Linked DNA regions of Callithrix jacchus. The protein of the gene in region 1 interacts with the protein of each later gene in a pairwise test. Links are inferred from orthologs where the notes say so. Each region holds a gene or a part of one and is shown in the gene's direction. Other genes may lie near its edges.

Region 1 (3,650 bases):
CAGAGCTGACCATCGAGATCTGCTCAGAGGCAGGGCTACCAGCCGAGGTGTACATCCAGGACCATGGCGATGGCACGCACACCATCACATACATTCCCCTCTGCCCTGGGGCCTACACTGTCACCATCAAGTATGGAGGCCAGCCTGTGCCCAACTTCCCCAGCAAGCTGCAGGTGGAGCCTGCAGTGGACACTTCCGGCGTCCAGTGCTACGGGCCTGGGATTGAGGGCCAGGGTGAGTGGCCCTGCTGTGCGGTATGTGGCAGTGGGGATATAGGGACCAGAGCCCCAAGTCTCCTCCCTGTGTCCCTTTGCAGGCGTCTTCCGAGAGGCCACCACTGAGTTCAGTGTGGACGCCCGGGCCCTCACACAGACTGGAGGGCCACACGTCAAGGCCCGTGTGGCCAACCCGTCAGGCAACCTGACAGAGACCTATGTGCAGGACCGCGGCGACGGCACCTACAAAGTGGAGTACACCCCTTATGAGGAGGGTCCGTGCCGGGGCTCCTGCAGGCCGGTGGGCGGGGTGGGTATCGCAGCCCGGACTCCTCCTGACCTGGCCTGCACTCCTTTAGGACTGCACTCTGTGGACGTGACCTACGATGGCAGCCCTGTGCCCAGCAGCCCCTTCCAGGTGCCTGTGACCGAGGGCTGTGACCCCTCCCGGGTGCGTGTCCATGGGCCGGGCATCCAAAGCGGCACCACCAACAAGCCCAACAAGTTCACTGTGGAGACCAGGTGAGGGGGCCCCGGGTGCCCGTGTGGCCGCTGGACCTGGGAACCCCGAGAATGAGCAGCTGTCTCTTTGGACCAGGGGAGCTGGCACAGGAGGCCTGGGCCTGGCTGTAGAGGGCCCCTCCGAGGCCAAGATGTCCTGTATGGACAACAAGGACGGCAGCTGCTCAGTCGAGTACATCCCCTATGAGCCTGGCACTTACAGCCTCAACGTCACCTATGGTGGCCATCAAGTGCCAGGTGAGGAGGTGGCGGCCAGCGCAGGGCTGGGACTATCTGCTTGTCCCCACCCTGTCTCATATAGCCACCATGCCTTTGCCCCACCCCTCAGGCAGTCCTTTCAAGGTACCTGTGCATGATGTGACAGATGCATCCAAGGTCAAGTGCTCTGGACCGGGCCTGAGTCCTGGCATGGTTCGTGCCAACCTTCCTCAGTCCTTCCAGGTGGACACAAGCAAGGCTGGTGTGGCCCCACTGCAGGTCAAAGTGCAAGGGCCCAAAGGTGAGTGTTTGCATGCCTGGAGCTGGGAGTCGGGAAGGAGACTGCTAGTGTGCAGGTGTTCTTGGAAGAGCCTCACATGACAGTGCAGCCAGGAGGGGGACTGGGAGGAGGTAGAACAGATAGGACTTTGTCACTTAGCAGATGTGGCAGGACGGCACGCAGGCAAGGGTCCCAGCTGGCACCCAGATGGGCGTCTTTTGTGCCAGAGAGGGTCAGGGCCATTCCCAGGGTCGGGCTGATGGGGATGAAGCAAGGTCTAGGCCTGGGGCTGAGTCTTGGCCATTGAGAGGCGGGGTAGGAGTGGAGGCCCAGGATATGAGCTGAGGCTGTGTCCCTGGGCCTGGGGCTAGGCCTGGTGGAGCCAGTGGATGTGGTGGACAATGCTGATGGCACCCAGACCGTCAATTACGTGCCCAGCCGAGAAGGGCCCTACAGCATCTCAGTACTGTATGGAGATGAAGAGGTACCCCGGAGGTAAGAGGCAGGGCCCGCTGCCTGAGGGGAGGTCCAGGCTGGATGCCTAGAGCCTATCTAACTGCTCACGACACCCTTGCCCACAGCCCCTTCAAGGTCAAGGTGCTGCCTACTCATGATGCCAGCAAGGTGAAGGCCAGTGGCCCTGGGCTCAACACTACTGGCGTGCCCGCCAGCCTGCCCGTGGAGTTCACCATCGATGCAAAGGATGCCGGGGAGGGCCTGCTGGCTGTCCAGATCACGGTGAGCTCCAGGCACAGGCAGGGGAGGCAAGGGGTCTGGGCCTGGGTGGCTGGAGTGTGGGCTGCCGGTGGCGCAGGCTGGCGTCTGGTCTCCCTGGGGCACTGCACCAAGGAGGGCAGGGAAGGACAGGGCCACAGCCTTTGGCTTGCTAAGGTTGTAACCAACTTAGGATGGTGGCGATAGGCCTGGGCTCCCCCAGACATGCACTTGCTCACTGCTGACTTTGAGCACATTACCAAAGCCTTTTGTGCCTCAGTGTCCCTACCTGTAACATTCTCATGGGGCAGGGAGAAGCCTGAGATCACCTGGGTGTGCTGGACAGGACCTGGGGCTGAGGATGGGTGCCAGGCTCCCTGGCCGTGCCTGTTGTCAGTGGGGGGTGTTGGATGTTTTAGTCTCCCTTGTGGACTCTGCCTGTAGGGAAATAAAGGGCAGTTGAGAGGCCTGGGGCCCAGAGGCTATCCCTGTAGCAGCGGCGCTGGCCACTCCGGGAGGCCAACTGTCTCCCCTGCCTCTGCCACACAGGACCCCGAGGGCAAGCCAAAGAAGACACACATTCAAGACAACCATGACGGCACCTACACAGTGGCCTATGTGCCAGACATGACGGGTCGCTACACCATCCTCATCAAGTACGGTGGTGATGAGATCCCCTTCTCCCCATACCGCGTTCGCGCCGTGCCCACCGGGGACGCCAGCAAGTGCACAGTCACAGGTGAGCCAGCCTGCCGTTGGCCGCCGCTGTGCTCGGCACGGGGCTTGGGTTGTGCCTGTGTGCAAGGGCTCGCTGCTTGGGGCGGCGTGTGGGAGTGGGGGCCGCCCCCTTGAGTGACTCACCTGACCTTTCTCCTTGCTCTCTGCCCTCTCACCTCAGTGTCAATCGGAGGTCACGGGCTAGGTAAGCTGCTTGCTGGGGCCACTCCCAATGCCCCTCCTGTCCAGAGGGGCAGCTTCCTTTCCTCTTGGGGCCAATTCCCAGGACAGTTCCAGCTGCAGCTCTAGGCAGGGATAGAGTGGGGGTGGGGGGCACAGAAGATGAGGCCATGGGCGGGAGGGCGAGGGCCCAGGGAGGCTTCCGGAGCTGAGCATGATCGCTCCAGCCCTCCCCTCTCTGGGCCTCTATTTCCCCATCTGAGAACTCGGGTTGCAGCTGAGAGCTTTGGGGTGAGGTGCATCCTGAGAGGCACCCCACTGGGGACTTTGGGGTCTCGGGATCTTGGCACCCAGGGAAACACAAGGGCTCCTGCGTGGGCTGAGGGAACAAGGGGTCTCCCCAACACAATGGGAGCCCCAGCCCTGGCCAGATCCACAGACTCCCATCCCCACCTTCCAGGGGCCTCTGTGTCCCGGGCTGGGGGAGGTGCATGAGCGGGTGGGGCTGGCTGGTAGTGCAGTAGCACCAGTGTTGACTGCTTGGGCGGCCAGCATGGCGGGGCGCAGCCCAGCCTCAGAGCCCCAAAGTGCATTCTGTGGCCCGTCTCCCTCCTTCCCCCTCCCTGATCCCCCAGCAGTGACGTTATTCAGACATTCAACAGGGACACCCAGGGATGCTGATAAGAGTCTGCAGGCCTGGCACTTGGGCAAGGTGGCCAAGGAGAGGGTTAGAGGGTGGCTAGAGTTTTGTGGCAGGAGCGAGGTGGCTTTATAGAGCAGGCCGTGGGGTCTGAGGTGACAGGCGTGTGTGTGCAGGGCAGGGG
Region 2 (3,650 bases), on another chromosome or scaffold:
CTGCCTCCCCGCAGGGCAGCTGGTGCAGGGTGCTTGCTGTGACAGTGAGCGGGTTCTGGACCCGCCCCGGCCAGCAAGACAGCTGCCCACGTGTGGAGGGTGGACTGAGGATGGCGTTTTTCATCCTGCTGAGCTGTGATGGATTGAAGTTGACCGGCCCCATGTGGCTAGTGGCCTCTGTATTAGAATCCTAGAGCCCATGCACGGGGCGGGGGGGCAGGGCTGAGAGTGTGCGGGTGTCCTGGGTGATGTTTGTGGCTGTGTGGCCCCGGTGCCTAATGGGGGACTCCAGGACACAGTAAAGTGCAGGACCTGTGGCCTGTGGGACCGCAAGTGAATTTCACCCCAGGATCACATCCTGAGTGGCACTCCCCATTACCTGGTGGTCAACCCCTTCTCATGCCCGCAGCACCCTGACGACCGCAGTTGGCATCTTAGTCCATTGGCAGGACACTGTTGAGAGTAGCGGGAGTCAGGCAGCTCCACCAGGCGAGAAGGCCCTCTGTCTACACTAGCAGTACAGAGCGCAGGGCCAGCACACAGTAGGAGCGCAGTGAGTGCGCTGGTGGAAGACCTCTGGCGTGTCCACAGGCGTGTCTTCACATGTGCACTCCTGCGTTCTCCGGCGTGGTGCTAGCCATATGCTCTGGTCCAATCTGCACGGCCCCAGTGAGGAACAAGATATCTGAAAAGTAGGCGGGTCCTTTAAAGCCCTGTCCTTCACCTCCCTGAGCCCTTGGTGCGGGCACGTGTAGTTCCAGCAGAGGCCTAGGGAGCAGCCTTGCAGGCCCCCTGCTGTCCCTGAAGGGGAGGGGATGCTGTGTCACACACAACCCCAATCTCGGTGGCATTGAAGAGCAGGGCTTCTCTTTGGCTCTCACCACGTGTTCCTCGTGGGTTGGCCATGACTTGAGTGTCCCAGCAGCACCCAAGGAGAACATCTAGCGCAGCCTTAAACAGCTTTAGGGGCTGGGCACTGTGGCTGACACGTGCAATCCCAGCATTGTGGGAGCTCAAGTTAGGAGAATCACTTGAGCCCAGGAATTTGAGACCAGCCTGGACAGCATAGTGAGATTCTGTCTCTGCAAACATCATCTTTTAAATTGGCTGGGGCATGGTGGCATGCACCTGTAGTGCCCACTGTGTGGGAGGCTGAGGTGGGAGGATCGTTTGAGGCTGCAGTGAGCCGTGATTGCACCACTGCACTCCAGCCTGGGTGACAGAGCAAGACCCTGTCCTGGGGGAAAAAAAAAAAGTCTTTGGGAGCAGAGCCTCCTGGTCCTCCCAGGTGAAATCTCTACTTCAAGGTCTCACTTTGCTGGGCTGGCCCTGAAGGACGCCCAAGTGTACATGGACAGGGCTTTCTTGGGTTGGTGGCAGAGGGGGATGGCCGGTGAGCTGAGTCTGTGTGGGGTGGAGCTCTTCGGGAGGGAAGAGTTGGGGGGAGGGCAGCGTGTCACGGAGTTAGCTTGAGGAGAGACTGCAGGGCCTGAAGCCTGCGTTTCCAGAACCAGTCTGAGGCTGAACCAGCAGTGGGCTGAGCTGGGGGCGCGGGAGGTGGACCGAAGGATAGGGTGGGGTCCTTAAGCCTCTTCCTAAGCTCCAGGCAGGGGCATGCCCTTGAAGGTCTTTGCTTCCACAGGGAGTGGAATTTTCGGACAGATTTTAAAACAGACCAGAGGAAGAACTTCCCAGCGTGGAGCTGTGGGGTGGGCTGGGGAGGGGAATAGCAAGTGCTTTCTTTGTGTCTGTCTGAGGGGCTCTTTCTGAAGAGGCTGCGGGTGGTTTCTCTTCCCATAGAACTCTCTTTCCCACCTTGCCAAGATTCTTCTAGCTGCAAGTGACAGAAAGGCAGCTCAAATGGTCTGAAGCCTCAAAATGGATTTGCTGGTGCTCACAAGTTAGGGACAGCTTCAGGTGTGGCTTGACCCAGGCATTTGAACAATGTTGGCAAGACTTGATCTTTCACCGTCTTTGACCCCTGCTCTCCTCAGTGTAGCTCTATTTCCACATGGTTTCCACCCCCTGCCCCCACATTCTTAGCTCCCTTGGCGGAGGGTGGGGGGACTGTCCCCACAGCTCTGGGCTCTCACTGGCCCAGTGTGGGTTACCAGTCCTCGGGAACATGCGGTGCCATTTCTAAAAGAGGTGGATGCTGCCGTGGCCATGGCCGTGCCCCTTGTTGAGAACTGGGAACTGGGGGGCAGGCTGGCTGTGGGGAGCTGGGCAGATCCCCGAATGCCTGGATCCCAGGGAGGGCTCTGGGCGGGCTTCCTGATGGGCCCCACAGACAGCTCCCAAACCAAGCCAGGGCCACAGGGTGTCAGATGGTCCTGTGTGCCCAGCAGGGAGCTGAAGCCGCTGCCACAAGGGGCTGCATAACCCTGCATCCCTGGCTCTCCTCACAGGCCCCCTCCCAGCCCTCACGTCCCCCCGCGTCCGAGATGAGGCCCCGGATGCTGCCGGTGGTCTTTGGGGAGACCATCAAAGTGAATCCGGAACCCACGCACGAGATCCGGTGAGTGGGCTGCTGGGCTCTGTGCTGGAGGAGGGGTGGGGGTTGGTGGCTGGTCCTGACTCTCCTGTGGGGTGGGGGTGGGAACTAGGCCAGGGTAGGGGGCCCAGGAGGCTCCCTACTGTCTAGGCAGCCCCTCTGGGTGCTGCGTCCTGGGGAGGATGGCCGTGTGTTGGCCAGAGACAAAATTGACTTTAAGATTCTGACCCCAAGGGACCCCCTGTAGCCACCCCACACCCCACCCCAGGCCTATTCAGACATTTCCCCATTTACCTTCTCTTTTTATCTTAAATCCAACATCCCAGAAAATCTGGAAAATTATAAGCAGAACCACTCATGCACCCTATGTCTCCTTCCCTTTTCCTGCCAGATTTTTTTTTTTTTTTGAAATGGGATCTCACTGTGTCACCCAGGCTGAAGTGCATTGGTGCAATCATGGCTCGCTACAGCCTCAGCCTCCTGGGCTCAAGCATTCCTCCTGCCTCAGCCTCCCGAGCAGCTGAGACTACAGGTGTGAGCCCCCATGCCTGGCTCATTTTTGTATTTTTTGTAGAGATGGGGTCTCACTATGATGCCCAGGCTGGTCTCCAACTCCTGGGCTCAAGTGATCCTCTTGCCTCAGCCTCCCAAAGTGATGGGATTACAGGTGTGAGTCACTGCACCTGGCCCCTGACAGGTTGTTAGGTGTTCACAGCCAAACCATTCAGGCAACTCAGGACCCCTTTCCGCTCTGTCATCCACGTGTTAGGGGGACACTCAGCTGCTCCATGTTCTTTGTGACTATAACTTAGGTCCTTGAGGCCACCCATGAGCTACTGCACTGCAGATGTACTGGGTGCCCTCCCAGGCAGATGACATCTTAGGTGGCATATGAATTGAATGAAGTCGCTCCTGCTTGGGAACTCACCACATCTGAAGCTGCTGGGGCTCAGGCTGCCCAGAGGTGGGGTGTGGGGTCTGAGAGTCTTGCCCATATATCTGTGGGGCTCTCTCTATCCACCTGTCCCTGTCGAGTGGGGCCAGCCGAGCATCAGAGACCTACTGCCTGCTGCCTTCACCAGCCACACACATGGTCCCAGGAGACAAACGGGTCCACTTCTGGATTATTTCTCAATCCCCAAGCAGCCCTCATCGT
Region 3 (2,539 bases), on another chromosome or scaffold:
GGGAGCAGTGGAGAAGACGCTGTTCGCCGCTGTGTCTCCCGCGCCTGTTAGGCGCAGCCCGCCCGGAAACCCAGAGACGAAAGGATAGCGGAAGTGCTCTCCTCGGCTGTATGAGTAGAAGCAAGAGTATCTTCTTCCCGCCAGGCAAGTACCCGTAGGAACCGGGCCCCGCCCCCTTCCCGCCCTACACTCTCATCCCCTCTCCCTGGGCGGAGGTGAGGACCTCCTTGGCTCCTCTAGTTCTGTCACTGAGCCCCTGCTAGGCCATGAAGCTCGTGAGGAAGAACATAGAGAAGGACAATGCGGGCCAGGTGACCCTGGTCCCCGAGGAGCCCGAGGACATGTGGCACACTTACAACCTCGTGCAGGTGGGTGACAGCCTGCGCGCCTCCACTATCCGCAAGGTACAGACCGAGTCCTCCACGGGCAGCGTGGGCAGCAACCGGGTCCGCACTACCCTCACTCTCTGTGTGGAGGCCATTGACTTCGACTCTCAAGCCTGCCAGCTGCGGGTTAAGGGGACCAACATCCAAGAGAATGAGTATGTCAAGATGGGAGCTTACCACACCATCGAGCTGGAGCCCAACCGCCAGTTCACCCTGGCCAAGAAACAGTGGGACAGCGTGGTTCTCGAGCGCATCGAGCAGGCCTGTGACCCAGCTTGGAGCGCTGATGTGGCAGCTGTGGTCATGCAGGAAGGCCTCGCCCATATCTGCTTAGTCACTCCCAGCATGACCCTCACTCGGGCCAAGGTGGAGGTGAACATCCCTAGGAAAAGGAAAGGCAATTGCTCTCAGCATGACCGGGCCTTGGAGCGGTTCTATGAACAGGTGGTCCAGGCTATCCAGCGTCACATACACTTTGATGTTGTCAAGTGCGTCCTGGTGGCCAGCCCAGGATTTGTGAGGGAGCAGTTCTGCGACTACATGTTTCAACAAGCTGTGAAGACCGACAACAAACTGCTCTTGGAAAACCGATCCAAATTTCTTCAGGTAAAACAATCTTACCCAGGGATAGTTAAGAACGGGCAGAGGGATTTGTATAAACTACTACTAAAGTTTTAGAACTAGGAAAAATGAGAAGAGAAAGTCTTTTACTTAGCTGAGATTATCATGAGATAATGAAGTAAAAAGAGAATGTTAAATGACTACGTAAACTTTGCTGAATTCCTTAAACATATAAAGCCTTGTTAGTGCTTTTGGCTTTAAGCCTTTGTGGGCTGATTAATGGGTGTTCTAAGAGATTATTTTGCCTAACTTTTGTAATTGTGATTTTAGGTACATGCCTCCTCCGGACACAAGTACTCCCTGAAAGAGGCCCTTTGTGACCCTACTGTAGCTAGCCGCCTTTCAGATACTAAAGCTGCTGGGGAAGTCAAAGCCTTGGATGACTTCTATAAAATGTTACAACATGAACCAGATCGAGCTTTCTATGGACTCAAGCAGGTAGAGAAGGCCAATGAAGCCATGGCAATTGACACATTGCTCATCAGCGATGAGCTCTTCAGGCATCAGGATGTAGCCACACGGAGCCGGTATGTGAGGCTGGTGGACAGTGTGAAAGAGAACGCAGGCACCGTTAGGATATTCTCTAGTCTTCACGTTTCTGGGGAACAGCTCAGCCAATTGACTGGAGTAGCTGCCATTCTCCGCTTCCCTGTTCCTGAACTCTCTGACCAAGAGGATGATTCCAGTTCTGAAGAGGATTAATGATTCAAACTTAAAATTGAGACTATCTTGTGTCTCACTCCTAAACTATTACAGTACATTTCTCAGCATCCTTGTGACAGAAAGCTGCAAGAGTGGCACTTTTTGATTCACACAGGGATTCTTATGTATTTGGTTACACTAGATATTTTGTGATTGGCAAGTCATGTATTTAAACAATAAACTAAAAAATAATCACCACGTACTACCATTTTTATTAATTAATTTTGTATAGGAATAATGAGTTATTTGTAGTACTTGGAAACAGAAAACGTGTATTTAATAACATTGCCTATGCAGTATGTTGTTTGGGATAGATCATGAAATTTCATACTGCATGCTTTGAAACAGTTTTCCTTAGAAAAAGTATTTGCTACCTTATCCTCAGTTTACATCATTTATTTTAATTCTGCATGGTATTCTTGCATTGCATTTAATGATCCCTCTTCTCCCCACCTCCACACACTGCATTTTTTTTTAATTTAAGGAGTTTTACTATTTTAAATGATTGCCATGCAATTAATAGACTCAAAGACAAGTTTTAAATATTTTTCTTAAAACATGTTAAACCAGTCACGTTGACAGGAAATGCTTGGTTTTGTTTTGTTGTCTTTAGAATTAGTCATATTTGATTTAGAGGGTCACTTAATTCGTTGTTTTTAGATTTTAGAGCTTTGATCTGCTAGGGATTGTCAAAATAATCTTTTTGAGGCATCTTTATTTTTTTAAATTAGACTAAATAATGTGATTTGCTATTATATGGCTGATTAATGGCAAAGCTGGAAGTCGTTCCCAATCTGGCCTTCAGTTCTTTGCACCAAAACATGCCATAT

What was found.
Region 2: the proteins of FLNA (region 1) and RFLNA interact in a two-hybrid assay, tested with the Homo sapiens proteins (2 studies listed by BioGRID). The two-hybrid records come from large-scale screens. The link is inferred for Callithrix jacchus from reciprocal best matches to the Homo sapiens genes FLNA and RFLNA.
Region 3: the proteins of FLNA (region 1) and PELO interact in binary tests that used the Homo sapiens proteins (3 or more experiments, as listed by UniProt). The link is inferred for Callithrix jacchus from reciprocal best matches to the Homo sapiens genes FLNA and PELO.

The regions. Positions count from the first base shown.
Region 1 is NC_133524.1:150,150,589-150,154,238, reverse strand, and holds part of FLNA (filamin-A), read left to right. Parts: coding exon 1-234; intron 235-316; coding exon 317-490; intron 491-574; coding exon 575-737; intron 738-813; coding exon 814-974; intron 975-1,065; coding exon 1,066-1,236; intron 1,237-1,586; coding exon 1,587-1,710; intron 1,711-1,796; coding exon 1,797-1,953; intron 1,954-2,478; coding exon 2,479-2,668; intron 2,669-2,827; coding exon 2,828-2,851; intron 2,852-3,650. UniProt on the Homo sapiens protein: Promotes orthogonal branching of actin filaments and links actin filaments to membrane glycoproteins. Anchors various transmembrane proteins to the actin cytoskeleton and serves as a scaffold for a wide range of cytoplasmic signaling proteins.
Region 2 is NC_133510.1:127,496,627-127,500,276, forward strand, and holds part of RFLNA (refilin-A), read left to right. Parts: intron 1-2,408; coding exon 2,409-2,518; intron 2,519-3,650. UniProt on the Homo sapiens protein: Involved in the regulation of the perinuclear actin network and nuclear shape through interaction with filamins. Plays an essential role in actin cytoskeleton formation in developing cartilaginous cells.
Region 3 is NC_133503.1:157,029,552-157,032,090, reverse strand, and holds the end of PELO (protein pelota homolog), read left to right. Parts: 5' UTR 1-266; coding exon 267-992; intron 993-1,277; coding exon 1,278-1,709; 3' UTR 1,710-1,911; downstream 1,912-2,539. UniProt on the Homo sapiens protein: Component of the Pelota-HBS1L complex, a complex that recognizes stalled ribosomes and triggers the No-Go Decay (NGD) pathway.